Linked DNA regions of Kluyveromyces lactis. The protein of the gene in region 3 purifies or fractionates together with the protein of the main gene of each other region. This does not show direct contact. Links are inferred from orthologs where the notes say so. Each region holds a gene or a part of one and is shown on either strand. Other genes may lie near its edges.

Region 1 (10,476 bases), on a different chromosome or scaffold from region 3:
CCATTCATTACAGTTTCGATGGTCTCTCTTTGGTTGCAGCCGGTAACAATAATTCCATATGTCTTTATGACATTCCAAACGAAGTACTGCTAAGAAGATTTACCGTATCCAAAAACATGATGTTAAACGGCACCATGGAGTTTTTAAACTCAAGTAGAATGACAGAAGCAGGATCTTTGGATCTCATTGATCAAGATGCAGAAAATTCAGACTTGGAAGATCGCGTAGATAACAGCCTTCCTGGTTCGAATAGAGGAGGTGACTTATCGACAAGAAGAGTCAGACCGGCGATCAGAGTGACGTCTATAAGATTCTCTCCTACTGCTAATGCATTTGCCGCCGGTTCAACAGAAGGTTTACTTGTATATTCCGTTGATAATACTATTCTTTTTGATCCTTTCGATCTTGACGTCGATGTGACTCCACAGAATGTTATCCAAAGCTTAGATGACAAGGAATATCTCAATGCCATACTAATGGCTTTCCGTCTAAATGAGGGCTATCTAATCCACAGAGTATATGAGAATATTCCAATAAAGGATATTCCATTGATAGCTCACGAGTTGCCAGTGGTTTACGTATCAAGAATTCTAAAATTCATTGGTGAGTACGCTTTAGAATCACAGCATTTGGAGTTCAATCTCCTTTGGATCAAATCTGTACTTACAGCCCACGGCAAATACATTTCTACTAATAAGCATCAATTCTCTAGCGCATTGAGAGCTGTCCAAAGATTTATTGGTAGAATGGCAAATGACGTCGTCCAAACATACAAGAGAAATAAGTACACATTAGACTTTTTGACAAATACCGATGGTTCTTCAACTAACGCTGTTGACGAGGATATGAATCTACTGGGCAATGATTCAGACAACGAATCTGAAGACAAAGAGGATATCAACATGGACGACGATTTAGATGGAGGTGAATGGGTTGGATTCGAGGAAAAAACTATTAATCTTCCTGTTAATGACGAAGATTCTGACGACGAAATCCTACTATGAAATCGGGATACTTCACTAAAAAGAGAATATATATAATTCCTAGCATGATAGATATATAAAATCACATCTCATTAATTTCAATAAAACAATCATTACCACGAATTCACATGGAGATTTTCACTGTTGTCCGTTTTTAACTTACGTTATTGCCTCTTAATCTGATAAGTTACATGCATATTAAAAATTCAAAATTGTTAAAAACCTTATAATTCAGGAACAGTTTTGAGATGAGATGAGATCAGATGAGATGAAGAATATTCAAAATAGAGAAATTGCGGTACAAAGCGTGACATTGCGCTCTACTGTTCATAAAAGCGCTTTAAACATACATGTCTGAAATTAGGTGGTCCAAGCTTCACAGTTTAATCCACGATGCACCAAGTGACTCAGGAGAGTACATTACTATAATTGATTCACTTAATGACCTAATCAAAGAAACCACAATAGAAGATAGAAGAAATGAAATCGCCAGCTCGAAAGATATCTTCTTCCAACTTCGAGAATCAGCTATACTTGGAAAATCTGTTGATTTGAAACAAGCTTGCAGTAGCCAGTATATGAGAATTGTTAAAGGAATTGTAATAATAGCGAGGAATCTTTCAGTTGCAAATCAGGTTATACCTCAAAATATTCTACTACCTAACACATTCCTGGCATGGTATTTATCCATTTCCAGACAAACTGTGTGTACGCCTGGTGATTTGAAGCAATTATATGGTCTAGTATGTCAATTTTACTTCAATTGCACCCGAACTAATGTTGTCTTTGATGAGAGCTGTTTTGATGATCATATGAATTTCATGGTAGAAATGCTGCGGTTTATTGATGATGATGGCATTGTTAATGCGTACTCTCTGTGGCTCTCAAATATAATGAAAAGTGATGCATTCATCTCATCTTTACTCAATGATATTAGATCTTTGGAAGTTATCGACAAACTACTACTGCGGGGAATAATTGCACAGAAAACTGAGATTGACTTGCTCGTTGAAGAGGAAGATGAGGATAAAAATCTTTCTTCCTTAGCTACTATTCAACTAAAAATATTAAAACAGTTAGTAACACATGAATGCTTCGGGTCTTATATGAAAACCTTACGAAAAGAATATGGTTTTGCTTCTTTCAACAAAATGTTCAAGATTGTCACAATGTTGGTGACCAGTTCAGAAAGATGGGACCTTTATCAGTTGACTGCAATTCTAAGCTGGACTTTTGATATTTTCGAAGAATATACATATCTAGTGGATGCTTTCTTTAAATCAGAGTCCACTCCAGAAGCAACTGATGCCGGCCCACTTTTTGCGATATTGTCCTCGGTTCTTGATATTCTAACTACACTTGCAAAATACCAACATGCACAGAAATACATGATTTCTTATGATGGGGTGCATAAAATAATAAAACTCTTTGATATCTTGGAGCGCAATTGTTTGAAAATTCATTTTAACAAATCTTCTGGGGCCAAAAATGTAGATTCTTCTGCTCACCCCGTAAGGGCTACCGATCATGTTGGAAACGTTATAACTGATGCTGTGATTCTCAAGAAAAGAATCCATAACAATAGGATTAACGACTCTAACTTCCCCGGTATCAAGTGCTTTTTGGTTGAATTGTTGGGGTTTATGTCGTATGAACAGAAAGACGTACAAGACTCTGTCAGGGAACTGCATGGTCTAGAACTTGTTCTTTCAAACTGTATTATTGATGACAATAATCCCTTTATCAAAGAAAGATGTATCATCTGTATCAGATATCTTCTTGCGAATAACAGCACGAATCAAGAGTTTATCTCACAACTTGAGGCTAAGAAAGCTGTCGATGGAGATGTTTTGAAAAAAGCAGGATACAAAGTGGATATAGATGGTAAGGGAAACATCAAACTTACCGCAGACAAAAGGAATGCTGCGTCGGAAGAACAACTGTTTGAAGACGTTCAGAAGTAGAAACATGGATGATTTTTAATCAATTATATACGGAGGTCAATTTATAAATGTGATTCATGCAAAAAATATTTAAACTTCCATCTTCACTAACTCTTCTTCGATGGTTTGTTTGACCAGTTCAATATCCGCCTTTTCCACCAATTTTAGCTTTTTCCCCAATGTAGATAGCTTCTTGAGTTCTTCTGGTAAAACATCCTTTTCAAAACTGTAACCATCAAAGCTGGAAAGAGCCTCGTTAACAGCATCGGCAAACTTAGCTGGGTGTGCAGTGGATAAAGAGATATAATTGATAGTGTTATCATTATCCTTTGTGATTTGCGTTTTGGTGGCGCAAATACCGACGGCGGTATGTGGATCTATGATGTAATGCTTTGGATTGACCGATTGCTCGTAAACTTGCTTTATGGTAGCTGTAGTTTCTTCATTGCTGACTCGTTCGGAATCGAAATCTTTCTTGGCGCCATCAATCAAGGAAGCGGGAACATCGAACTTACCCTTGGATTTCAATTCTTGGAACCAGTTGTTAACAGTTTCACCTGCTTTCAAATCGTCTCCAGAGGCCACATATTCACGAGCCAAGTACCAAAGTAGTCTTTCAAAGTTAGAAGAAATTAAGATATCCATGGCTGGAGATAGTGTAGCAGCGACATCGTCCGATCTTTCATACACACCATTCTTCAAAAATCTGTCCAAAATGTCATTTTCATTAGTGGCAATAACTAGCTTCTCAACAGGTAAACCCATCTTCTTAGCATAGTAACCAGCTAGAATATCACCGAAATTTCCTGATGGAACAACAAACTTCACTTTTTCTTCTTTACCGGTAGTAGCTTTGAAATAGGAATAGAAGTAATATGTGATTTGAGCCAAAATTCTAGCCCAATTAATCGAGTTCACAGCTCCAACATTGTGTTTAGAGTTGAATTCCTTGTCACCAAAGATAGCCTTGACAATGTCTTGACAGTTATCGAAAGTGCCTTTAACGGATAAGGTTTGCACGTTTTTGTCAGGAACGGTGGTCATTTGTTCTTCTTGAATTGGGGAGATTCTACCTGTTGGGTAAAGAATGAAAACAGCAACATCCTTCTTACCTCTTAGACCATAAATGGCAGCAGAACCAGTGTCACCAGAAGTTGCACCGACCACTGTAATTTTCTTTCTTTGGTCGGCTGGTAATCCATCGTTATGTCTTTGCAAGAAATATTCAAACAGGTTACCCACAAATTGTAAAGCAACATCTTTAAATGCGTAAGTTGGTCCATGGAAAAGCTCTAGGACATGAAGATTTTCATTAGAGCCAGTGACATTCTTGGCTAACGGGGTAACATCATGAGAACGGAAAGTAGAGTAAGATCTAGTAATCAAATCCTTTAAGTCGGCTTCTGGAATTTCATCTGAAGAAACATAAAGTTTCATGATTTCAAAAGCTAAATCCTGGAAGGACAACTTAGACCATTTATCAAACAACTCTGATTTAGAGACTTGAGGAATAATGGATGGGATAAACAAACCACCATCCGAAGCTAAACCTTGAATAATAGCTTCCTCAAAAGTTTTGGTAGCAGGATCGGATGACCTCGTAGATCTATAGCTTTGTGACATTTTGATTTGGTCTTAGATTGGATATCTTACCTTATTGGAGCCTCTGCCTGATCTAATCAACAACTAACAAGTGTTATTCTCAACTATAAACTTCAACAGTTTGCTTCGTGGTAAGTTGATGAAAGCAGAGGTTTACAGATGACTCAATACAATTTTCAATATTTTCTGAACGATTTTAATCATTTTAGACGATTTCATAGTACAAATGTTTTCTATACGGTTGTTGAATACACGAAGTATGGGCCCGCTCTGCGAAGAACTACCAAGGTATACGTTGTATACGGTATACATATATTTATGATGAAAGCGATAAAATACTGAATGAAATTATTTCATTCTTCCGCTTGAAAGTAGAACTCCAATGTTTTCAAAAAGAATTGAATCGTTGTCCTGGTAGAATTGTGATCTTCTCACTGTATCTTCATTGAAGCCAGCATCCCCTGATAACACTTTGAGAGCCTGCGATGACGATTCCATGTAATCTTGTAGCATTGGAACTGGATCCTTAGCTAGTTTATCAAAAAATTGGTATTTCTTTGCGCTTGAATTTAGTTGTAGTTGTAATAGTTGTGTTTTCTGATTTAGTTCTTGTATTTGTGGTTCGATTGCAGTTGATAGCGTATTGTATTCATTCAATAGCAATAATTCATCCTTTGACAACTTTTGGTCGCCTTTAACTGACGTTGATTTAGGTACTTCCATGTCAAATACCAAATCTCCGAAAGTGGAAGACTGATCTACACGAATAGTATAGTCAAGTCTTATTGGAGGTATCGGTTTTACATGATCTTTCACTAGACTTGGCAAATCGGCGAGCTTCAAAGAAACAATGCCTGCGGCAAGCCTTTCTGGAGACACTAGCTTTGCTAATGAAGCATCCATTTTCACTAAGACTTTCTCACCGTTTGTGGAATCCTTTGGTCCCGCCTCGTCGTTATTCGTCAATAGACTGTTTAATAGAATATATTTGTAAAGAGAGTATATCGCCTCATGAAAGGTTCCTTTTGAGAATCCGACAATACATGATAGTTCTGGTGAATACTGTAAGAACTCCCCTGTATACCCTTTTGGTTGGATAGTGATGGTACAGTTAACGTTTTCAGTACCCTTACGTGAAACATCAACACCGTCAAACTCTACAGGAGTATTAGGATCCACATGCCATTCAAAAACGGTTTGCTCATTTTTTGGCTTTTTAGCACTAGGTTCCTGTGTCCCTTCTAATAAGGGGTCTCCCATTTCTTGATCAGTTTCATCATCTTGATCTTCCTCTACAGGTTTGAAATCTATCGCGACGCTTTCTATAAAGGAGGAAAATTTAGGCCTATTTGGATCGTCTGCCTTCCCATTATCTAACAGTCTACCTTCAATACGCAATGTCCATGATGCTTGATCAAGTTCCATGGTCTCATCGTTCGTCTGCCATGGCTGGTTCTCAGAAATATTAGAAATGAAAACACGAACAAACTGATTATTCGCAGGATCTGTGTATTTGGAATGAGTCCATTGAGTAATATTCTGATGCAAATCAATTTTTTTACGACTTAAATATATGTCAATTCTCTTCTCAGCCTCTTGTAACTTACTTAGCCCATCCAATTCTGGTATTAATTTCTTCAAATACGGTTGGATATACATGTCAGTTGGTTGTGCAACTGGCACAGTTTGTGCCTGTTGATGTTCAACCGTTGCTCCACTCTGTGCCGCAGACATTTGATTTTGATTTTTCTTTAATCTCAATCTAGCGGTAGCTTAGTTTATTCTACTAGGAGGTAAGCAGATGATATGTCTCATCTATACAAGTTGATGCATGTAAGTTAATGTACCAAAAGCTAGTGAATGCTTTGTTTAGGTTGATTGAATAATTCGAAAAACTGATGTTGAAACAACGAAAGCACCCATACACCCATACACCCATACAATACTTTATAGCGAATCGTATTAGGTTAGATTGTATCCATTACGCAGTTCATTTATAAATAAGTATTTCAAAGGTTACAAACACGGAGTAGTACAGTATGAACGGCTGTCACTCGCTAAACCAATCTTTTATCTTCTTTTTATGTACACATCTTTTAACTAGGCTGGCACTTAGATATGATTTTAAAGCTTCAAAAATTTTTGATAGTTTAAAATCACATTAGAACAAGATCAATCTAAAAGTTAACCATAAGCAGGGAATTAAAAATAGCGTCAATTGTGTTTGAAGTGCTATTCCAATAACTGCACACGCTCCAAGGGCTTTTAAAATATTACAGCAAAATGTTCAGACCGACATCATCGTGTCTTTCTGCCTTAACCAAACGTACAAAGAGAGTACAGGTACAGTTATTAAAAGATTTTCCTCAGTTCCAATTTCATACCGGCGAGGTGGTAAATGTCAAGCCCTCACTAATGAGAAACTTCTTGCACAACTATAATGGAGCCCGCTACATTCTAAAGGAAACTGATATTGACCAAGCCCTGTTGACCTCAGCTAAGAGATCACGTGCATCAGCAGCAGCTTTATTAAAAACAACCGAATCAACGGTGAAGAAGACTGAACAGAACGTAAAGAAGGCTAAGCAGGTATCCAAGGAAGAAAATAAGACACCAGAAACTCCTAAGTCAGCATTAAACGAAGAAATAACTATCGAGAATGTGAAGATTCCAGGATTAGACTTATGATAGTAAATGTTTTATCTTTTTTTTCCTCCTTACGCGGATCATTTGAGATACCAATGTCTTACAAAATAATAATGATCATGGATGTTGTTCGTGACGTCTCGTCCCCATTGCGGTTCAGAGGCACATTCATACACTTGTACATAAATTACATTAAAATAACTTGCGAAAACAATAAAGAAAGTTCGTTGCATCCAATCGCTACCAGTTGAAGTAATAACGTGGACAGTAGATCTGGATGATTCATACTAAATGGGGATTGACAAGAGAGTTATTACTACAGGAACGCTCATCACCTGGACGAGCATATTTCTCTTGATCAGCTTTAACTGTTGCTTTGGAAATAAAGAGACGAGAATGAGAAACAACCCCAATAGTGATGAACTTTCTAAATTCTCATTTTCTGTTTGTTTCTCAGACGTCTTTCTCTCTTTTCTCTTTTCTTCAACTCCATTTTATCAAGTTCTTGGTCGGTCAACTTGTCTCTCATATCCTTTCTCTTTTGTCTCTCAGCTTCTTGTTTTTTTTCAAGAGCCATTTCTCTTTCAACCTGTTGCATGACTTTAACAATCTTGCCTAACTCTTCTTTACGCAATTGAATACCCTTCTTCAAAATATCAGTGGTGATGAAAGAATTGGATGAGTTAGTTTGAATATCCTTAGTAACATTGTCATAAATTTCGACAACTTTGGTTATCAATTCCTCCAACAATTCGATATCTTTGTCAGAAGTTACCAAGGATAAGTAGATGACACAACGTGGCAATTGAGAAGACTCCCATAATTTGTCAGTAATCGGTTTCTCTTCTGGTAAATCAGTGAAAGAAATAAACTTCAAGAACTTGGCAGATTTAGATAGCAACACCTTGAAATCTTCACCGGCATAGTGAGGAATAAATCCGTTCAACTTATTTGATTCGGACATGAAAACATAGTCTGCTGGTAAAGATTCATTTTCAGCGGTATGGGTCAATGATAAAAAGTAGTTTGAGTCACGAGCTTTAGTCATCACTGCTTTGTTAACGATAGATGTGATGAATTTCAATTTGGACAAAGTTTCCGCTGAGTTGGCAGTTAGCTTAGCATCTTCAGTAGAGACGAATTGGCCATTTGGAGTAATGGTAACTGAGATGAATTCTTCAATGTCGTTGGCAACTAATGTTGGTAAAAACAAAGCTAATGCCTTTTGAGTTAACAATGCCAATGGGTTGTGACGAGCCGTCAAGTGTGCCTTAACAATTACGCTTTCAATAGTAGAACGACCAGTGGCAAAAGATGTGAACCAGGTGTTATTTTGCTCCTCAATATATGGCATCTTCTTGCCATCGGCACTAAAACCAACCTTTGTAAAAGATAACTTTGTTAACAAGAATGTGTTCAAAGTACCAAATATCTTATCGGCATATTTATTGTTCAGAGTCTTACCATAATAAGAAATGAAAAATAAGATAGCCATGAGACCAATGCAAGCCAATTCAAAGGTCCAATTATAAGCAGTCACTCTGCCCCAAAGTCCTAATTCCTTTTGTTCTTCAACAGAAAGGATATAAAAGTCTTTGTTCAATGCATTAACATAGTCAATAGCTTTGGCCAATGGCGCCAAAATTGCTGACATCTTTCTTGATAATTTTTAGATATCTGTATTGGTCAATCAAAGGAAAAAGACAACACTGGCTTTAGGTTAGGTTCAATTGCCTAAGAGATAATTCTATAGTAGAATCTATATACAAGATCTTTTTCTCTTCAAGATGGACGATGTCTCTACTAAGTTCCGCAAATATTTTTTATCGTGACCGTAAAATTTCAGTAGGGTAACATAAAATCATTGACACTATGCGATTGATGATTTAATAGATTACATACACTAGCGAAATTGAAATACATGAATTATAACACTGGACGACCTTTGATTAGGTATTTCTAGTGGAATAAAGTTTTTACGCTTCCAATTTTTATTTGACTCGTTTATTGTTTTCCGAACTGTCATTGTTATTCGAAAAGAATTGATTATGAATCAAATCTCTAATGTACTTTTCAAGCTCTTCTTCTGCGTTTTCACCCTGAATTATGCTCTCTAGTTTCTTTCTACGTTCCAAAGATTCGGGATCTGTCTCGTCTACTGGATCGTTCTCTAACGTGTAACGTATGTTGTCTTTAAATTGATTTAACTGTTCTTTATCAATACCAAGAGAAGTATTGAATATGGTTTCTCCGAGGACTTCTTCCGCATATCTCAAAAGGTCCAAGTTGTCGTCGCATGTTTCTTGCCACACCTGGAAGCATGTCTTTCCCTCGTTATTCAAAAGCTCACGATCAGCTCCTAATTGTTCTATTAGAGACCTGGCTGTAGTCGCATCTTCACAATGGTGAAGTGGTGTGTCATTGTCAGAGTCCTTGATATTTACATCACCATTATGCTCTTGTACAAGCTTCTTTAGCAGGTCGATATGACCATATGCTGCAGCCGCGTGGATTGGGGTGTATCCGTTTTCATCCTTGTCGTTTGCGGTTTGGCCTTGTTTAATAAATTTTTCCACTAGTTCGGTCTCCCCGTTACTAGCTGCGATCCAAATATTCATGCTTCTGAAGTCTGATATAGCTATTGTGTCAGTCTGGGCACTACTGAGAATGAATCTAGACAGAAAGGCAACTAATATCTTCAAACAACTTCGAGAGATGCTGTATAGCTCATCGCCAGCTCAAATCAGTTTAATCGAAAAATTATTAATAGTGAAGGTATAGAAAGGAAAAACCACCAAATCACGTGTGTGAAAAGAAGATTGCAATGTTGTATACACATTTCTGAAATGAACCATTGATAGCATTCCTAAGTGTTTATATGATCTAAGGAAAAAATGTTTATATTCATTTCAGGATGAACACACTATTTTATGCTGAATCTCACTTTTGTCTCTGCACAGAAACAGATCTCCGTAGGTCATCTTCTTCATTCGAGTATCACTTGAAATCATAAGAAAATTTGAATATCTACCTAACCAACAGCACTAGATTAAGAAAAGGAAGGCTTGCAAACCTGTGTACTGAAGCGATAGCCAGTGAAAAATGTCCGTACCACCGCCTCCAAAGGAAGATTTGATAAAACCTAATCCGCCGAAATCAGAATCCGCTGTTAGCGGCTTCAACTGGTGGAGAAGAACGTTCCAATACAAAACGGGCCTGGGATTGACACCGGAAGAGGAGACACAGTACGAGAATGATTACAAGTTTGTGCTACAGCGTAAACAGTGTTCCAAATGTTATGA
Region 2 (10,383 bases), on a different chromosome or scaffold from region 3:
TATTAACTCTTCTTTCTAGTGGGAGTAAACGTAACTATGATAAACCTTTACTTGTAATTACGAACGAAATACACTTGAATTCACGTTTGTTTTATAATAAAGCAACGAAGCGAATATATGCTAAAGTGAATTGTTGATTAGAAACCCTATAATTAAGGATATATAATTTCTTGATATTGCAAAGTAAATAAACTTAAAAGAAAAAAAAATTGGCTAGAGTGACTTTTTAGGGACTCCTGGCGAAAAAAAACTGGCCAGAATAATTGAGAATAAAAAAGGAAGGAACCAAGCTGAGGTACCGCAGAAACTTATACCCTCAGTGTAGTTGGAACCCTTGCTGTTGAGCTGGTGCCTTGGTTGTCATCTTTGTTTGCCGTTTTTAAGGGGACGATTGCTATTACGAATTGTATCATTGTATGTACTGTGTTGCAGAGAAATAGTCTCAATTTGGGAACAATGTCGTAATGAAAACAGGGGAAAACTCGGCTGGTTACCCTGATATACAGTTTGTACGTTGTTTTCTGTGAACCTTCTTTGATGGTTCTTAGCAGGAAGAAAATACTCACGACGTTTTTGCTAATTATTTCATTGCAATCCCGTGCGGAGCTAAAGCATATCACAAAGGAGACATAGAGAGTTTTGCGATGGGTTAATTCAGGAATTTAATTGGACTCTCAAGTCATTAGACGGTGCTGTCCATATACCAGGGTAATCGTCAGAGATTATGGGGATTTTAGGCTCTCCTATTTATCCTCGCTTTCTCTTTTCATGTTCTTGTACGGCCGGTACAGACAAAAATGATAGAGGTACAGAATTAAGCATAATTTCCCTTTTTGGTATTATTACTTGCTTTGCAATAAACAAACAAAAATATAAGTCACGTGATTGAACTTATTCCCCAATCAGGAATAATGTAAACATCATCGAACAGCACTATCACAGTGATTGTATTCAGTTGTAGAGATGGATGGTTCTGGCTCTCTCACCAAACTTTGTTCGGTGTATGTTAACAATTCACAAGGATTGAAGTTAGATGTACGGTATCTGTTTTGTCATTCAACAATCTACAATTGAAGGGAAGTTGAGGGCATAACAAAGAGTAGGTATTAGCAAGGAAAGCTATCGATTGAATGACTCAAATATACAACTATCAAGAAAGTTTCTGGGACGAAGACGATCAAGGTGTTACCGTTCTTCTTCAGCATGTTGGAAGAGGTATATGCACCTGTGAGTTATTGCTCGATTGTTTCACTAAGAGAAGTGAGTTGGAGATGGATTATGCAAGAAGATTAGGAGCACTCAGTGCAAGAATAATGAACAATCTCGAACGATATGCGGACTACAATAATATGTCTGAATCCTTAAAATATTTCCAATCCTCCCAGCAGACAATAGCCAATGGTCATTCTAAGGCATATGAGAGGCTCAACAGGGAAAATGTCGGTACGATGAGTGATTTCTTAAAGCAATATAGAGCCAGATGGTCAACGATAACGGGAAACGTGGAAAACTTAAGGAAGTTGAAAGATGAAAAGAAGAAAGCCTTGAAATCTATAGATCAAGAATTACTCAGTGCTGAGAATAAACTGAGAGAGTATCAGCTCAACAAAGAAACTGCCTTGGGCGAATACCAAAGGAAAGAAAATGCGAGAGAATTGGAAAAATGGTCTTCGATAGTGGAAGAATCACACCGTAGGAAAACCGTCTTACATCATGAATGTAAAGCTGCTAGAGCACATTGGTTTGAGGAATGGAGACATATTAGTGGAGAATTGCAAAGTTTAGAAACACAAAGAATCCAGGTCTCTAGGGAATTACTACAACAATACGCTGATTTTACAACCCAGCCTTCGGAACTGGAACTCTCTTTGATGGAACAATTAAAACAAAAACTTTCCAGCTTCACACCTGAACTTGAAATATCGCACTTTTCTTACCACCATGGTACTGGAAGAATCAAGTTGAAAAACTCTAACTCAGTTTCAACGCACAACTCAAGTGCTAACTCTAACCCATCTAATGTGATCCGTCCGAAGAGTTCTCACAAGGCGTTGGATTTAACAAAGAATGATAGGTATGTTCAAAATATAAAAAGACTATCAACCCAGCTGAAGAACACCAGGCTCAATTCAATAAATGCATTAAGTGTCGATAAAGGGTTGCCAACTCCAAAAACTGATGCTGCCCTTGTTAATTCCATAGAATCGAAGGTCCTAAATGATAACTCTGCTCCGCATTCCGTTGAAAACTATTTAGAAGTGGTTACAAAGCCAGGACATGGAGCAACATTATCAGAATCTTCAGAAGAGACTTCTTCAAATCCAACGGACTTTACTCATAGGAAAAATAAGGCAAGTTATGATTCCATGTCGACTTCTCTCTCATCCATGGCCTCAAGTGTCGATGACTCTCAAAGGTTTGCTAAATCTTGGAATTCACGCAATAGAAGAAAATCTAGACCTTCATCAATGTATTCGCCCACAATGGATACGGATACTTCTGACAACGACAATAACAACTCTCTGAAGCCACCAACTGCAAATCGTAGAAAATCCATCGCATCGGATGTCGAAACAGCATTAGAAATCTTGGAAATGAATGATCGTCCGATGACATCAAGAACGAGCTCTGGTGCTTCTAGCAACTTAACTGTGAGCAGAACAGTGTTGCCTTTCAGCAACTCTTTGAATATAATGCGTTGTAAACGTGTGACTATTGATGGTGAACAATTGAATCTACCCATCGTTGATTCCATGAAAAATCCAGTCGTAAAATATGTCAAAGCGATGTATTCGTACACTGAACCCAATGAAAATAACATACTACTTTTCAATTCTGGTGATATCCTGCTGTTAGTCGAATGCATAAATGATGACTGGTATGTGGGTGAGGTATATCAAGGTAACAAACAGCATGGTCTGGTACCAATGAATTACGTGAAAGTAATAAATTGATGTACATCACTTTCACCTTGGACGCTTTCCTTTCTGACCATTTTCACCCGTTAAATAATGAATTTGTAACCATATGTAACCAATATAAAGTTCTATACTTATATATAATTTCTGCTCTTCCAATAGACATCAAACTATTAGCAAATTGAAGCTGAGCAGATAAATCTGTACTTTAAATGATAGGAAGGATTGCTTCAAATAAATTGACCTCGTATCCTTCTAGCTAGTTGCATGTCCTTTCTCATAATTGTAATTCTTTTAGCATGAAGTGCCAATAGATTTGTATGCTCTAATAAACCGACTAAGTAGGCTTCACTTGCTTCTTGAAGAGCCATAATTGCCATGGATTGCCATCGAAGAGGTTCGCTCTCGGTAGTGAATTGATCTGTTACCTCTTTCACTAGCCTCGCAAAGGGCATTCTGGATATAAGCAAATCTGTGGATCTTTGATATTTCCTTATTTCTGCCAAAGCTAGGTCAGTAGGTTTATATCTAGTTCCCCGAGCCTTTGTTATTCTTTCATGTGCGCTGATATGATGCTCTGGAGGGTGAATCTGCTGGCTGCTAGCAGAACGCTCGGGCTGGATGTATCTTGCTTTGTCTTCACTTCTATTTAACAACAAACGTCTTCTTCTGTTTCTCTGTAATAATTGTAGTGCTCTCTGATTGATCGATTCACGATCTATAAGTGAAGCGCCAACATTGCTCAAAGATCTAGAACCGTCTATGCTCCTGATAGACTGTTCCATTATGTATCAATCTCTTTTCCGTATGGTCTTTTGCGTGTCATAGAACTAATTTCAATGTTTCGCGTGTCATATTCATCATTGAGTAGGCTAATGTTAGCTAGATAACTGTTTTCATTATTTGAAAAATTCAAAAAGTAATAGAAGATAAACAAGTTTATACTTTGAATTAGCTACTTGGATAGGAAAAGTCTCGTCATTGACCTAGCAACTGTAACTCGTATTGTTACGATAAATCGAGCACTTTGTTGTATTGTTAGAAACCATTTAGCAAAAATGGCACCATTAAGACAAGACAGTTACTTCGTATGTGCGGTATCCAGATTGTTCATTATTCCGAAAACATTAGTTATTTAAACTACTAAGATAACTTTACTAACCGATCCACTCACATTACTACATGTGGTACTTTTGTCCAGATAATATATCCAGGATCCAATAGGACTTTGGTTCAATTTGGTATTGGAGAAGATACTTTGCAGCCGCCTTCGATTTCTATTCCAACAAAAGTTTACAGAGATGCAAATGGTAACTTTACATCCTCTGTTACTGATGTTGTTATCTGTCCCATTGTGAAGGGAAGCATTGTCGATATTGATGCGTTCCAATATTTTCTAAAGTTGATCTATAAATCTGTGTTAAAACAGGAGAGTGACGATAGTCCAATCGCTTGGGATACAGCTCTTTCTAATATTCCATTTTTGTTAATTTCGCATTACTCTTGGACTCAATTCCAACAAGAACTACTTTGCAGAACAGCTTTTGAAGCAATGAAATTGAAGCATTTTGTTATATTACCTAGCTCGTTAGCTAATTCATTTGCCTATGGCTCTTTGCAAAATTGTTTGATCATCGATATTGGCAAGTTTCACACCGATGTTGTACCAATTATGGACTATACACCCTTAACCTGCTTCATAAGACAGATTACTTCCGGTGGAAACTCGATAAATAAGAATCTACAGAGAGCTTTACCAAATCTCACCGAGTCCCAAATTGAGGATTTAAAAAGGTCGGATATATACGAAATTTTGTCCCAAGATATCATGGATCAATACGCTATCGACAACGAAGATGACGAAGAAGGTACTTTAGATGTGGCTACAATTGTTACTAGTGGGCGTGATACTCGAGAAATTCTAGAAGAGCGCGAACGAAACAAAAACAAAGAAAAACTGGACAACAGCAAATTAGAGACAAATGACTTCTTTGATACTGATGGTAATCGTATTACTGTAAGCAGGCAGAGATTCACAGGCTATGAAGATCTGTTGAAGGATGTCTCGAAAGCTGTAGGACAAGCAATGAGCCAGATTGATGACATAACCAAGCTTAAAGCAATGTGGGAAAATGTCATTATTGTTGGAGGGACATCACATATAAAAGGGTTCAGGGAAGCTCTTCTATCACAGCTGCTAAAAGACCATATAGTTAGTGAACCAGAAGAGGAACTGTATAAAAGAGAGGTGGATGCTGCGGCTAAATTAGATTCTAAACAGAAGAAAATTGGGAAGGTTTCCACTGCTCCAATCTTAAATCAGATTGAATATGTGCAGCCACCAACTACCATCATGACACCAAAGTTCCCTGAATATTTCTCGGAATGGAAGAAGATTGGTTTCGCTGATATTACCTTCTTAGGCGCCCAGATCTTAACAAAGCAAGTGTTTGGGCATTCTAACAATTCATTCTATGTCACAAGGGAGAAGTATGACGAACTAGGCCCAGAGGCCATCTGGGAGGTTTCTTTCTAAATAATTCTAGTACTTTTTCAATATATAAACGTATACAGATATCCATTGTAATTTCAATCAGCAAATGCAGTTCAGAGTACCGTACATTTAGAAAGTGCCCATCAAACTTCTCTAGAGCATTGAGCTATGACTCTTACTAGAATTTTGATCATTTGTTTGTTCTAAAGATTTGCTCGCTCCGGGAAAGCATTCTAGATCCACTTGATATTGGTCTTGTACCCAGCTTCCCGTTATTGTTTTGTTTTTGTCTCTGTGAGGTAAAACTGGACCTTCTTTTAGTGAGGAAAGGAGTTTTTGTAGTTTTATACCCATTAAGTTGTGTTTCGGCTTCCTGCTCAGCTAGTAATGCCGCTTTGTTAGCAATGGGATTGATTGATGTTTCATTATTAGTGAATCTTTCATTTTTGCTTTTAATCGCTGAAGTTAGGGAATGCAACCATACCAGGGTATCTGATTCGTCCGTTTGAAATACAAATGTTTTGAATGGCGTCTGTACAACGAAGATATCTTTCGAACTTGTCTTCTTCTCTGGTACAACCTCCTTTATGCGAACACCTAACTGTGACAAATCTATCTCATATTCTAGATCATAGAAAAGGTTTGAATTTTGATTAATTTTGTTTTTTCTAGCAAATAAAAGGCACCTTCCGAATGTCGTTATTACACACATTCTTTTAATATATTCTGATTGTGCGATAAATTCTGCAGGTGCATCAGGTGCCTTTGAAAAGAAATGTTTCAATTTTGACATACCCTCATGCGAAGCCTCATCTGCGCCAGATTGCTTACGATAGCTCGCTTCAACATTTTCAGGATCAATCAGATACTCACTATAAAAGTCATGCTCAACCAAGTTTGAGTTCTCTTGACGAAAGCCAGTTACATTTCCGCCTCCTCTAACAACTTGAGTCAGTAGAGTATTTTTTTTCTGCACCCTTCCGTCTGCATCTAAGAGGGAGAGCTTTGACTTGCTAATCTTCGCTTCAAGACTTTGGTTTTTGAGCGTGGTAACATTGATCTCCCCCATCTTTATCACACGTTCTTGTATATTTTTTAAGTAGTACGACCACATTATATCTAATTTACTCATTGGAGATAAATCGGACGATATTTTTCTGATATTAGAAGACGATGAAGGAGGAGCAGACTTGGATGATGATGAATTTGTACTTGCACTGCGGTTGGAGCCACTAGGTTTCCTTTGACTTCTTCCAGAACCCGCAGAAGAAGTTGAAGATTTTGCTGTCGTTTCATTTAATGGTTGCTTAATTTGCTGAAGAGCTGCTGCTGCTGCTGTTGCAGGATTAGGAGTGATATCACCTTGGCTTGGAGAGCCGGAGTATTGTTGTGATGGTTTAAGGGCAGCCCGTCTGTGGTTCCGCTGAGAAATTTCTTTTTTAACATTATTCAAAATCCGCTGTGTTCTAGGGTCTAACTCACGTTTTGTTGTGGTGGATGTCGTGTCACCATTTGGCCTTTGTGCTGTTGTCGTGTTTTTAGGGGTTATCTTCGGTGATACTGAGCTTTGTCGAACAGGTTCATGAATTGGATTAATAGCCGGAGACGAGGCCACCTTCGGTACCGAGGATTGCAAAGCACGGGCGGAAACCTTGTATGGACCAAGTTCTGGGGGGTCTTTATCCCAAACTGAGCCGTTACCGAAGTTTACATCGGCGAAAAACTGGTGAGCTTTAATTTGATTGATCAGCAATCTTCTTTCTGGGTTTTTAATTAGAATATTTTTCACCAAATCTCTCACAGTCATTGGGAAGCCAGCGGTAAAAGCAAATTGAACTTTCATTACCTTCTGGAATGTCAAATATTCATTGTTCGCCTTAAATGGCGGTTTCCCGGCTATCATTTGGAAAAGAATGCAACCAAATGCCCAAATGTCACACCTAAAATCAACGTAGTTATCATTCAACAATTCTGGTGATACATATTCTGCTGTGCCAACAAAGGAGTTAGATCTTGTCAACAGATCGTACTTAAGGTCATCCTCCGAAGTACTATCTAGAAGCCTTGCAGTACCAAAATCAGTTAACTTGACTTTCATATCAACGTCTAACAAGATATTTTCTGGTTTCAAGTCTCTATGTATAACTCCCTTGTCATGCATGAAACCTAATGCATCGATTATTTGTGCTGCATAGTACTGTGTACATTTTTCATTGACTGAACCATGCTTTCTCATAAGAGATAATAAATCGCCATTTGGTGCATATTCCAACAAAAAGTATAGAGAGGATTCATCCTGGAAGGTAAAATATAAAGAGATGATTCCTTTGGTATTCTTCAACCTCTGCAAGGTATTCTTTTCAATATTAACGTATTTTACCTTTTTCTGTTTGATGAGGTATTCTTTATTCAAAATTTTGACCGCATATTTTTTATTACTTTCAATTGAAGTTGCAAGCAGCACTGTTGAATAAGATCCATCACCTAACGTTTCTCCAAATTTGAAATCATTAATCCCCTTTTTGATGACTTGCTTTGTGATTTTCCCTGTTTGCTTATCCGGAACATCCTTCACTATCATTGCAGCACCACGATCTGCCCATTCCTTCTGCCTACGCTGCATTGATTCGCTAATGGGTAATTCCTTAGGTATTGAAATGTTATCATCTCGCGTGGAATCAATTGTTTCGACTGAAGACAGAGAGTCGTTTCTTCTGTTCAAATACTTCGGATCCAAAGAGATAAAATTGTCAACGTCTGTTAATGCTTTAGTTAAAACAGGAGGATTCGGCTTCCCAAATGGCTTCATTTCTGAGAGGTTAGATAAATCATCTGTCGTTCTGATAGTGGGTAGAGGAGGATGTGATAGTTCCATCGGAATTGGAGGTGGCGTTGGTCTATGCATAACAGATCTGGCAGATCCTGACGTAGGTATAATGGGTTTGTTAAAAGAATCTTCAGAAGACATATTGATGAAACTCTTAGAATGGTATTTTTATCAGTACAAATGCAAAGCAACAAATTTCGATATTGAACAAAGAAATATTTGATACCAAAACGCTGTTAGTTGATATTCGCTTAAGGGTATGTTTACAATGCAAAAAAAGGAGATGCTTCAACCATCAAACCTTAAAATATGAAGAACTTCAATTGCTAAAAGAAGACAAGCCAGACAAAAAAAAGGACGATTCAAAAATCAGGGGATTTTAATATTCCTAGCAACTCAATACCTTATTCACTAATGGGTATATCTATCACAATTGCTTCTAGACTTGATTGTCGTTCTTTCTTTCCTCTCTTCTTCTCCACGTATTTTCTCTTGCTTTGAATGTTAATGTTAAGTAAATTCCAAATGTTCATATTTATTAAAGTAACATCTAGTGGTCACGTGATATATATTTGCGTCTCAATACGGACGTATATCCGTAAACTCTCGTCATGTGTGGAGCTTCAACTGTCATGTGAAGCACAAGTGGATGTTTGTTTTCGCTTCTTGTCGTCTAGATGCAGAGAATGTCGACACCTAGCGCTAGGATCGTCGAGCAAGTTACTTTCCGAACACAAAGTAATTAACGATGATGTTATTGTTCGTCATATGTGTCATTGAATATACTTGCATGTCAAGCATTTATAAATGACATTATCTCTGGGATCCATCGAGCATAACATAAGAAATATACTATTATAAATAATTACAAGACAGAAATCTTTTGTTATTCTTGCCAGTTCCAATTGAATATCATCATATACAGTCTCCAAATACTCATAAAAAAATGGCACACGCAACCTCTTACAATGTCTTCATGTTGCCAGATTTAGAGGCATACGTCCATGGGATCAAATTCAAGAGCAAATTGAAGAAATGGAGCAAATCACAGGGGTTCAAAGACCTTTCACCTGATAACTTAAAGGAATGGTGCACGGATAGTTTTGTACTCGATTCCTTGTTAAAGGTGAACAGGTATAAATCCAGTCCTATAAATTCACCAATTTCACCATTGACTCCGGATATCTCATCAATGGCGTGGAAGGTCCCTCCTTGTAGAGGTAATCTCTTGGATGACTACAAGCAGTCATCTACTTACAAATACAGAGATTTTAAGAAATATTATCACAATAGTGACGATTCTCTGAATGACAATTTTAATCATCGGAGGACCAAATTCAAAAGATTTTGGCACAAGATAAAGGGACATAAAAACGAGACTTTTGCAAATAGTTATAAAAGCAGTGAAGTATCTACAAGGCAGAATCGTTCCATGAAACTAACTACTACGAAAGTACTTCAACCAACCGGTTGTAAAAATGGAGATGATCATAAGAATCAATCTTTGCTGTACAATCGAAAGTGCAAGGGCTCAACAAATGTGTTGAGATTACTTGAACTAATATAAATTCATAGACACATCAATAGACTCAGGTACAAGAAAACTTTGAGTGTGAAAAAAAAAAAGGATCATAGTCGTGAAGGTGATTATCAAGAGTAGGATTAGTGGTTACTACTGTTAGGATTTTCGTATAATGCCCTCTCGGTAGTACGTATTTATATGCATTTTTTAAGAAACTTAACGGTTAATAAAATGAAAACTGTTGAAAAATGAAGTTTTCGCACCTTAAATAAATATCATGAGATGAGATGAGCTGGATTTGAGACAATTTTATTATTCTTCAGTAAAAACAAAGACTCTAAGGTTGCGGGAAGTTTATGTATACATAGTGCTGCCAACAACCAGTGATATATTAATTGTGTGAAGACAAGTATGAGTGCTACTACGACTATCAGACACAGGAGATCTATTTCTGAAAAATTAGAGCAGTTAACTCCTGTTGCAATTTCAAGCACGATAAAAAGGTTATACAGATATAGTGAACTTCCTGAATGGCAACAAGACAATGATAAGATTATTACAGGGTATATCCGTGAAACTAAAAGTGTAAAGGAATGTGTCAAATCGTTATTCTTATTCCATA
Region 3 (11,361 bases):
TTGACAACACTTCTCAGCGATTTGGATAAAAACAAGTTCCCACAAGAGGGAGTGACTCTTTTAAACCAAAATATTGACCCTAAGACATATATGCCACAAGATGTTGTTATATTGATCGTCGGAGGCCTCACTATAGAAGAAGCGCGCGCAGTACATCAATTCAATGAGAAACAGAGTAAAAATAAGGACAATTGCAGAGTTATCATTGGAGGAACCTCGATTATTTCTACAGAGCAATTTTTAACAGATGTTTGCGCCGTTAATGATAAACCAGTTGACTTATTATGAACTTACGTATGTACTTCAGATGTAGAATTAGGTAAGGAAATGTATGAAACAAGAAAAGAACACTCTCTATCATGCTTTTAAGAAGCTGGACTAAACTTTTGCTCCCAAAGCAGTAATTTCCTCGTTAGCTCATCCATCGTTTTGAAGGATTCGTCGTAACTGGAGAATATTTTATTAATATTTTCCAGGAATTCTTCGTTTTCCACAAACTGGCACAACTGATCCCGTTGACGTTGGTCATTAGATATTTCTAACTGTGTCCTTGAGATAAATTCCAGAATAGCGTTAACTCTTCTTCTCATTTCATGCATAGTGGTCCTCTGAGAGGGAATCCTGGGTTTTAGAGGCTTGTTGATTCCGATATCATTAGATTGTCCATTAGATTTCGACAAGTTTGAACTTCCAGAGGAACCCGATCCTTTTGAGCTGCTAGCTTTAGAATTCCTTGCAACTCTTCCACTTGAGGTCTTGTAAATCCTTGAGTTACTTTGCGTGGTTGAACCATTGCTCTTACCTCTTCTTGATCTTTTTGATTTGGAGTCATCTTCGGAACCTGATGGCGATGTAGATTTTGTTGTCGTTCTAGCTCGTTTTCTTGATTGACTAGCTGCTTCATCAGCTTCAGATCCTTCCACTTCTGGAGATTCCGTATCTCTAGTGTAATTCTTTGGTGAGGCGGACTTCCCTGATGCCTCTTCTTCCTTCAAAATATCTTGGTCTTCGGGATCGGTGCCATCTTTTGAAGAGCGTCTGCTTTCGCGTAGGGCTTTCTCTAGCATAAGTTGATAATGTTTCTCTTCCCTGGCACTGGATGTAGCACGTTTACGATCTGCAACCTTTTGATTTTCATCAATTGGATCAAACTCGCGCTTGGGAATATTTTCATCCTTATCTTCACCATTTCCGGAGTCCGCAATAGAATCTTCACCTTCATCCTTCGATAATTCAACATTACTACTATTTCTCCTTTGCCGAGATAATCTTTGAGATCCAATATTTCCACTAACCACTGAGCTAGAAGGAGATTGGTTCTCTAGTGAACTTCCAGCGTTTGATACTTCTCCATCCGATTCGGAGTTTCTTTTCGACCTTCTATTTTTCCTACGGCGTTGCTGAATTGGCTTGTATATTGACCTCTTCTCACCAAGATCCGTTGTGTAGAGCGAGTGTAGCTCTGGTTTACACTGCTCGCACCAATACTTATCCGGAGTTTCCTCCTCAGATATGCCCACACAATATCCATGTTGCCAAACATGGCATTGTTCACATTGAATATAAAGACCCGAATCATCTGGCGGTTCAATTTTCCCACAAATACACCGAGTCTCACCTTCATCCTCAGGCTCTGGATCAGAGTCCTCTACATACTTCTCTGGTGCAAGGTCCGTCCTTCCACGGTCCCTCGTTTCTCGCTTCATTGCTATGATTCAAGATCCCCTCTTCTCGATTATTCGTCAAATATCAGCTGCAAATCGCCCAAATTAACCGCTCTATGTCGAGATCAGTAAAAATGGCACTATAGAACAGCCCTGAAACTTCTGGAATTCACTCTTGCCCTCCGCATTGCATACATAGAAACTTTAAAACATCTGTTATCCAAGGTGGCTCTACTTATTCCTTTTAAGTCTTTAATCAGTTGGAACACTTTTTCCTCGTTCGAAAAGTACATAAAACAAAAATATCACGTGATCCAAACACATACATAAATACATACATACATATATATAAACCATTTAACGTATCATCACCTATACTCTAGCGAACCAGTCTTTGTGAGGTACTTAACACCTTTGAACGGTTTTTTTGGACCTCCATTAACTACGTCGATTGATTGAAGTTTGATTCCGGAGGGAAGCTGGGATTTGTGTTCGTAGTAACATTTGATGAAACTAGGTTGTAGTAAGGATGTTAAGTGTGAACTAGGTGGTTGAACAACCGAAGATCTACTAGATGTTTGGTCATTGGAGGCGAGTTCGGGTTCCAGTTCCGCTATACAACGTAGTACAGCCATTGAACCGCATACCATGTTTTTGTCCAAATGCCAATTAACTTCGCCACGAGTCATATTTGTTTCGACACCGCCGTGAGTGTTTCTCATGACACGTACTATTCCCTTAAAATTTCTATTCATCCTGATAGTCATGCTCATGTTTTCTATTTCTTTCACCGTCGTGCTCATTCCAACGGTGACGCGGACCTCAAATTCGTCAAGTCTTTTACCTAAACTGCTTTGTAAATTTACGTCTATAATGCCGAGGTTTGAGTCTCTTTTCACCAACGGTAGGGTATATTGACAGAGCCTAGTACGTCCATCAGGAGGTACAAACGTTAGCTTAGTGAATTTCCCAGCGATTAAATCATTTATGCTGTTCGCCTTATCCTCTAAGATGCATCTATGGAAAGTCGTGTTTAAGTGGCTAAGCTTGTGGTCTAAGAGCCCAAGTTTCATCTCAACCAATGGCTGTCCGCTGAGATGGTTGTTTAAGTCGATACAACCCTTGATATGTCCGGTTAACAGTTTCCCCTTTTCCACAATAGCGTTAATTTCCTCACTCATATCGATGAATATTTCGTTATTAGCATAGTTGATGCCGCTCATTCTCCATGGGACACCAGATTCATCAACGGAATGATCAACTAACGAGGAGCCAGGAGACCCAACGTGGAACGAGGAAACGGATGAAGCGGATGAAGATGGATATCTACTGCCACTAAACCTTGATTTTTCCGGACCATTCTTAAACATTGACCCGTCCGGTTGTTGTAAGGTCTTGGTAATTGTATTGGTTGTCGTCTTCAACAATTTCGATAAATCGTTTCTACTTGGGACCATTGCCTTTAAACGGTTCGAGTCTGTTATCACCGGTTGCCCAGCATCAAGGATACAATGGAAAAGCATCGATAATCGATCGAGGTTATTATTTATCTTCTGCTTCGTTAATTGGTCCTTATCGAAATATTGTAACAACAGTAAATCTATCTCTTCTAACAAAGATACCACGGAAACTGTGGACTCTGAACACGAAATTAAACACCAATAAACAACTGGATTCAGCAAAGAAACGTGTCTGCAAAGCTTCAACTCAGAATTTATCTCATTGCAGTATTTAGACTCCCATGATTCGTCTTTACCTTGTAGTTTAACAACTAGTTGCCGAAAAGTAGGGCACTCTGCTACTGTTGAGTACTGGAATAGCGTTTCCTGGCACCTATCATTGACATATATGCTAACAATCATTGTAGCCAATTGCTTAAGTTCACTATGATAACCAACTATATGCGGATAACCCGCTGTATCCTGTTTGCTTGCCTTAATTTTTCATTAGGTTGTTCCATCTCGTACTTCTCTTAATCGTTAATCAAAATTTCGTGAATTTCATGAATTCAAAGAACGAAAGAACAAGACCAACAACAAACTTTAAAGATCAACAAGAAATTCTTGTTTTTAAGGGAACTGAACACCTTTCAGGTAGGCTTCAGAAAGGGTATATTTGACAGCATTTGGTTGAGAATTATCGCAAGAAAGAATATACTAGTTTCCTTCTGTGTTTCCCTTTCTGTCTGCAATTGAAAACACTAGTTGCAGTTTTGTTTCTCTATATAAGCTGAAAGGAGAATGTCAAACCCACCAATGAATCCTGGCAATGCGAACCCTTTGAGTAACATAGGGACGCCTTCCTTTTCGCTTTCGCAGGTTCCACAACATATCCTACAATCCTTGACGCCAGCGCAGTTGCAGATGATTCAGCAGAAACATCAACAGTTGTTATTGCAGAGACAAAGACAAGCACAGCAGATGCAGCAAGAACAGGTTTCTTCTCCCGGTAATATGAACCAATTGGATGCTGCTCAGCGTGCGCAGCTAATGAAGCTCAAACAACAACAAATGCAGAGATCTCAGACGCAGCAGCAACAGGAGCAACGAGCTCAGCAGGTGCAACAAGCCCAGCAATTGCAACAACAGCAGGTTCAACAGCAACAGCAGCAGTCTCCTCCCCAATCTCAACAACGAACTTCTTTGAATCTTCCTCCACAAATTGCACAACTATCACCGGCATTGCAAATGCAATGGCTTCAGTCCATCAAACAACAGGCTATTGCGAGAAATAACCAGAACGCTCTTCTGATGATCACTCAGCTTGAAGTCAAATTACAGCAACAACATAGACAGCAACAGCAACAGCAACAACAGCCTGTACCACCACAACAACCTGTTCAGCAGCAACAACATCAATCCCCGCCACGCAACATTATTCCTCCTAACCAACCGCAGCTTCAACAGCCTCAACCTCAGAAACCTCGTATACCACTTCAGCAACAAATGGGGAATCCACAACAAATGATTGGAGGTCAACCTATAACTCAGAATATACCAGTTATGAACAGTAATCAATCGATGGTTCCTTCGTCACAACAGCCACAATCACAACCACCACAACCACCACAACGACAACCACCACAACGACAACAACAACAACAAGTCCCAGTTTCAGTACCACAGCCACCTCAACCATCACAAGCTGCAATACTACAGCAAGTGCTTCAGAAGTTTCAGAAACAACTTCCTGATATTCCCAAATTCCAAACTATTCTTCAAGACCCACCTGAGACTCCATTACCTCATACTAGGTTATGGTCAGAGAAAGAAAGAGCTGATAACGAGCCTGTGAGTTTTGATACAAGATTATATGAACATGTTATTGAACGGGATTTGTTGGATAAGGACAACTTGTTGGCGGACACTAATGGATTGGAACCTATTTCCAAATTCGGATTCAGTCAGAGGGAGGTAATATTGAGATTACAGCAAGATCTTGATTATTACAAAGAATTGAGGAACAGTCGAATGCAATCCATTACCAACACAACTCAAGGACATAAATCTAAGAGTATATGGGGTGACGGTTATTCTGGATATGGAAATGGCTTCAGTAACGATCTCACAAGGATTCAAGTCGATGACACTTATGAAATGCACTTGGACGAAATATATGAATGGACAATGAATCAAACAGGGGAGGAACTAGTACCTGTTAGATTAGAGTTTGATGCAGAAAAGGATAAATTTACTTTGAGGGACACATTCGTATGGAACAGATCAGACACGCTACTGTCAATCAACGAATTTGTGAAAACAACGCTGAAGGATTATAGGCTCAAAGTCACCACGGAGATGTATCAACAGATTGTGAATAGTATCAAAGAACAACTTCAAGAATATACTCCAAATCCTTTTGAAAATGTGCAGAGGTTCGGGGGCGATGATTTCAGAATAAAAATCAACCTAGATATTGTCGTTGGACAACATCAATTGATAGATACCGTTGAATGGGATGTGTCAAATCCAGATAATTGTCCAGAATCGTTCGCGGAGTGTTTATGCGAAGAACTATCCCTTCCGGGTGAATTCTTAACAGCAATTGCACATTGCATTAGAGAACAAGTTCACATGTATCACAAGTCATTATATATGGTTGGTTACAAATTTGACGGTAGCCCCGTTGAAGAAGACGATATCAGAACAAGATTCTTGCCTGTACTCACCTTAGCAGACGTAATGAGACCACAAAAGGATACGTTTTTATACACACCTAACTTATTACAGATATCTCCCGCAGAACTAGAACGTTTGGTTAAGGATAAGGACAGAGACACTAGAAGGAAACGTAGACAAGTTCGTTTCAATAGAAGAGGCAATACAGAAAATCACCCATCGTCCGGAAGTACACCGCAACTACCCCATGATGCAGAACTTCCTGATCTTGGGGATATCCCAAAAACGTGCCGTCAACTACTTCCAACAACAACTTTGCCTGGAGGTATTGATGTTGGTCCAAGTACGTTATCGTTCCAGCCATCAACTAGAGTCGAATATTTAGACAGAGCTAAAGCAACTCCAAAACAAGAATTCCAACAGGAAGTAAGAAACTCATCAGCATGCAGAGTTATTATGCACGACGTTGGGAAATCTTTACTCGTCACTATAAAGCTACCAAAGGCGAAGACAACCATTCAATGAGTAATTCGCTATATATATATATATGTACATATGTATTTATGTGGTACCACCTGTAACAATTTTAAGAAATACTATGATAAATAAGCTAGAAGAAAGAGCACTGAAGATAGCTATGAGAGACCGAACGCCGATGATCGCGGGCTTACTCGAGGGTCTTGACACGCACCTCTACGTATATCGATATTTATGTGTGCCTGTTTCATTCTTTATGGTGTAAGCCTCTAAATTTCATAAACAGCTCAAAACCAAAAAATATATTTAGTAATGGAAACGTTAACATTTGAACGAACCAACCCTTTTAAGAAACTTGGTATGCAGAGGCCACAAACTCATCAAAGCAGCCATATTTGAGTGTTACTCGAGGGTAGTAGAGTTTACTGAGATTATCTACGCGGCGAGTATGTCTGAGCATTCGGAATTCGTAGCCGGAAGTGGCGTTGGCAGGAGCCAAGATGAAGTCGGTGGATCTTCCTCAGTGACTTTGTCTCCTTCACAATCGCAGTCGCAGCTGCAAACACAGCCAGAAACCGAATCTTCAAGAGCTGATGATGTGGAAACAGGGACAACTTCGTCGTCTTCTAGACTGCACCAGATGAATGGGCAGTTCCAACAACATTTGAACTTTGTTGCCCGAAAGTTCAATATATTAGATAGACTGTTTAGAGGCGGCAGTTCAAGCGAGCAAGCGATGAGGTTACAAGTCGGGGCGAGTTCTGATGGTGTATTCAGTAATCTTATGGCGAAACCTGAAAGGAACGGTATCAATGGGAATGGGGAACAGGATAAGCCTCCTACGTATGACGAGGCTGCGGCTGATATGGCTCCACCATATTACGGTATAGACGACGATGGCGTTGGATTGTATTACAACGAAATTTGCATCGACGGCCTTCCAGTTGGGAATATATTCAATTTCTTATGGAACGTTGTGGTCAGCTTCAGTTTCCAATTTGTCGGGTTCTTGTTGACCTATATCTTACATACATCACATGCAGCTAGGCAAGGGTCCAGGTTTGGACTTGGGGTAACTTTCATTGGATACGGATATTCCATGATACCGAACGATGTTTCAGGAAAGATAGGAAAGGATAATGAATTGAACAGGTTTACATTTGATAATCCAGATTCGTTTGAAGAGATTCGTCTATATACAAGTACTTCTACTCAGGATGAATTCGAATCGGACCTTTCTCATGGAGTAATGGAAAAGACGCGGCACACACCGGCATTGGCCATATTCGTTATACTGTTAGGTGGGTTCATAATAATCAAGAGTATCTGGGATTACATTAAGGTCAAACGCATGGAGGCACGCTTCTTGCAAGATGCAACAGCAACAGCAGAAGTTTAAAATCCTCTTTTTGACTTCCATGATATTAGCATTAGCAGACTAACTGCTTTCAACCTTTTCTCATATATTCAATTCGTTTTTTGCCCTATTCACATTTTTATTCACTATTCTATTTTGCAGCTTAAAGACACCCTTTGCAGGGTCAAAACTCTCGAGTTTAACACTACTACACTCATAAATAAATGGTTCATCCCATCAGAATAAATCAAACTGTAATCCTATCCATTAAGTTGTTGTGGATCCAAAATTAAAAAAAAATACACTATAATAAAACAAACAGGCTGTCTCTATGATTGTTCCTCTTCAGAAACTAACAAAAAGGAAATTTTTGTCTTCTCTTAATTCAGTGCACCCTATGACCAAATTACTCTTTTAATCTATTTCATGATACAATGGTTCCTTTTACCTGATGCTATTCGGCATGTTTGATGTCTCTCATGTGGATATATGCAAACATGTGTATTATATTTTTTTGTATATCATAACAATATAGATGGAAAAGATTCTCATCAAATGGCCGATCATCTTTATGATGCGGATTAAGATTATCGTTTAGTATTTTTTGTTTTATAAGTAAACTACACGTTTGTTACACACTAAGAAAGCTGAAAGGCTAATTATGCCAAAACCGTCAATACCTTCTCATAGATGGTGAAGACAATACCACCAGAAAGGATCAATCTACCCAATCTTGGAGTAGCACCTTTCCAGAAAGTCTTCAAACCTTCCTCCTTGAAAATGGTAGCGAAACAGTTAATAGTAGAAGAATATTGGCCTGCATTCAAAGATTGCATTCTTGTCTTAACGGTATCGATAGGCATTGTCGTATAAACGGTAACGATACCACTGAAGGCACCTACAATGAAGGTCAAACCTGAACTCAAAGGTTTATCCTTAGGTACGTTTGTGTAATCTTGCACCAAAGTCTTGATCTTGTTATAACAACCCAATCTAACGGCTTGATTTGCAGCTTGTCTCATGGAAACTGGTAAGACACCTCTATAAAGACCAGAAAATCCTTGATCGGATAAAAGCTTAGCATAATTGCTCACCATACCTTTCCCGTTATTTTGATATTTTGGCACAGCAGCTTGCTTATCATCGATCAATGCAGTCTTGATGGCTTCGAATGGAGTCACAGCCACGACCGATTCCAACAAACCTGCACCTAACCCGGCAACAACACCTCTAAATCCACTCAACTCACCGGTCTTCTTGTCTCGAAGCAAGTTCTTGATTGTGTCGAACCCAAGAAATCTAATACCGGCCTTTGCTGTGTTACCAACGATGAAAGCTGGACAACCGACGTAAATGGATGAAATACCGTAGTTCTTACCCGTATTGTATATTAGAACCAATGGATTTCTGGAAGCTTTACTAGCCTTATCCACCAACTGTAACCTCGTTTTGGCAAACTCGAAAGGATAAGTGATGGAGGCTTCTATAGCACCTGCGATTGATCCTGCTAGGAAGGAATGGAATGGATCTACAGCCGGCTTATTACTTGACATCGTCGATTCACACTGCGTGAGCTCGTATATTTGGGCACTAAAGAAAAGTACTGAATAGAACAATACAAGACAGAGCTGGAAGCTAGATAAACGCTTGAAACAGTTGAAAAGACTCTCTTTATATGAAGCTGTCCGATGGGCAATCAACTGGCACAGCTCAAAAAAAAAAGAGTCAGTAGCACAGGAATCTGGTCCCTTTCTCATCGCAGATATTGGCATCAGATGTCTTTCACCTATCATTTGGACCGTTGAAATTCCAGCGGAAAATCTGCAAAAAAAAAAAGGGAAGGAGAAGTACACAAGTCACGTGAATGTTTGGAATTATCAACAGACTTGCCAGTGGAGAATACCAGTTGTTAATGGTTTCTTTGTTTGATATTTCGAATCACTTTTCCATGTTCCAATACTGCTTTGTAGATGTGCGGGCTGCTTTTCAATTTTCCACATAGGTTTTAATGAATGCAAACACCCACTAGGTGTTATATTACCTTGCTGTGAGAACTTAACCTATATTATTATCGATAGAAGCTTATTGAAACGATTACGACCTCGAGATCATCTTGTTTGGAGGTAATAGATGTTAATAATAGCTTCAGCGGTTATTTGTTTTCCTGGCCTCTTCACCCATACACCCGGAAAGCAGCATATGATTTTCTTACCCGGAATATAGCACGTGACCAACTTGCTGTTAGATTTTTCTGTCGCCTGGCAGGTAAGGACCGGTCCCATTCATCCTAAGCTCATAATAAAACTGCGACCGCACTATAAATATAAAGACAATTGCACTGGAAAAGAGCCAATTATGTTGTACATATCCTCTCTCTGCCTTCTGACTCCTTCACAGAGATACAAATAAAACAATGTCTTCAAGGATTCTTCACCGGAACCGTGAAATCCCGATTATTTTCCTTTTTTTTTTCTGAATCAAGACTGTTCATATGTCAGGTTTTCAAGTTAGACTTTCGGGCTTTTCAAGCCAAAACCTTTAAAAGAAGAAAAGGATTAAAAAAATAGAAGATTTGATACTCAAAGGTTTGGAATGATCGCTTGGAATAGTGTTTTTATCTGGTCTTACATTCGTTTAACGCTAGTTCCGGCATACACAAAAATATATCGGCATTATTTTTGCTTCGTGATCAAGTTATAGTACTTGATTTTTATTTCGTCTGTGCCATATATTATAGCCGTTTTCCATTAATTCGAAACTGGGTCCTATAAGGAATGTCGACAAATGTCGCTGCAAAGAAGGCGACAAATGATGGTACCGGCGGTACTGTTACAGCTTGCAGTATGAATAGTAACACGAAGAATTCAGGTCTGCTTCCGCGAAAATCTGGTGATGCAGCAGCATACACCAGCAAACAGAATTTTGATTATATATTAAAATCGGGCCTTGCCGGAGGGGTAGCAGGTTCGTGTGCAAAAACCTTGATAGCCCCTTTAGATCGTATCAAGATCCTTTTCCAGACTTCTAATCCGCATTATGTGAAATACGCAGGTTCGTTCCAGGGGTTACTGAACGCTGGTGTGCATATTTGGTCAAGAGATAGATTGAGAGGGGTTTTCCAGGGACATTCGGCTACTTTGCTGAGGATTTTCCCCTATGCTGCAGTGAAATTTATAGCATATGAACAGATCAGAAACGTGATTATACCGAGCAAAGAGTATGAGACTCATTTCAGAAGGCTTTGTTCCGGTTCGTTGGCCGGTTTATGTTCTGTGTTTTGTACTTATCCGTTGGACTTGATAAGAGTTAGATTGGCATATGTGACAGAACATCATAAGGTAAGGGTATGGCCGTTGGTAAAGCAGATTTACTCGGAACCAGCTTCTGAAGCCTTGTCTTCGAAAGCTTACGTTCCAAAGTGGTTCGCTCAATGGTGTAACTTCTACCGTGGTTATATCCCTACCGTTATTGGGATGATCCCTTACGCAGGTGTGTCATTCTTCGCACATGACTTGTTCCATGACATACTTAGACATCCAGTCATTGCCCCATACTCGGTACTTCGTGTCGATGACTTGGATGCAGATGATTTGAAAGTGGATGTACAGACTACTCGAACGGGGAAAAGAATTCCATTGAATACTTGGGCAGAACTATTAGCTGGTGGATTGGCCGGTATGGCTTCCCAAACAGCGGCATACCCATTTGAAATTATTAGGAGACGTCTACAAGTCGGTGCTGTGAC

Evidence for each region.
Region 1: the proteins of SNF5 (region 3) and RSC6 purify together in Saccharomyces cerevisiae (affinity purification with mass spectrometry; 5 studies listed by BioGRID, with this or other methods). This does not show direct contact. The link is inferred for Kluyveromyces lactis from reciprocal best matches to the Saccharomyces cerevisiae genes SNF5 and SNF12.
Region 2: the proteins of SNF5 (region 3) and ARP9 purify together in Saccharomyces cerevisiae (affinity purification with mass spectrometry; 5 studies listed by BioGRID, with this or other methods). This does not show direct contact. The link is inferred for Kluyveromyces lactis from reciprocal best matches to the Saccharomyces cerevisiae genes SNF5 and ARP9.

The regions. Positions count from the first base shown.
Region 1 is NC_006039.1:786,268-796,743, forward strand, and holds RSC6 (Rsc6p), read right to left. Parts: upstream 6,263-10,476; coding exon 4,877-6,262; downstream 1-4,876. Other genes in the region: snoRNA-binding rRNA-processing protein PWP2, read left to right, coding at 1-1,004; CTR86 (Ctr86p), read left to right, coding at 1,334-2,947; threonine synthase THR4, read right to left, coding at 3,017-4,549; mitochondrial 54S ribosomal protein bL9m MRPL50, read left to right, coding at 6,812-7,216; KLLA0_C09086g (uncharacterized protein), read right to left, coding at 7,602-8,828; KLLA0_C09108g (uncharacterized protein), read right to left, coding at 9,166-9,792; ATP23 (putative metalloprotease), read left to right, coding at 10,277-10,476.
Region 2 is NC_006039.1:1,058,164-1,068,546, reverse strand, and holds ARP9 (Arp9p), read left to right. Parts: upstream 1-3,976; coding exon 3,977-4,006; intron 4,007-4,119; coding exon 4,120-5,454; downstream 5,455-10,383. Other genes in the region: formin-binding protein HOF1, read left to right, coding at 1,131-2,954; centromeric DNA-binding histone H3-like protein CSE4, read right to left, coding at 3,149-3,703; serine/threonine protein kinase PKH1, read right to left, coding at 5,603-8,380; KLLA0_C12463g (uncharacterized protein), read left to right, coding at 9,186-9,806; IZH1 (PAQR-type receptor), read left to right, coding at 10,173-10,383.
Region 3 is NC_006041.1:1,661,268-1,672,628, reverse strand, and holds SNF5 (Snf5p), read left to right. Parts: upstream 1-3,904; coding exon 3,905-6,307; downstream 6,308-11,361. Other genes in the region: VPS45 (Vps45p), read left to right, coding at 1-288; CTI6 (Cti6p), read right to left, coding at 366-1,706; APM3 (Apm3p), read right to left, coding at 2,033-3,526; BSD2 (Bsd2p), read left to right, coding at 6,708-7,658; CTP1 (Ctp1p), read right to left, coding at 8,276-9,409; LEU5 (coenzyme A transporter), read left to right, coding at 10,391-11,361. UniProt on the Saccharomyces cerevisiae protein: Involved in transcriptional activation. Component of the SWI/SNF complex, an ATP-dependent chromatin-remodeling complex, which is required for the positive and negative regulation of gene expression of a large number of genes.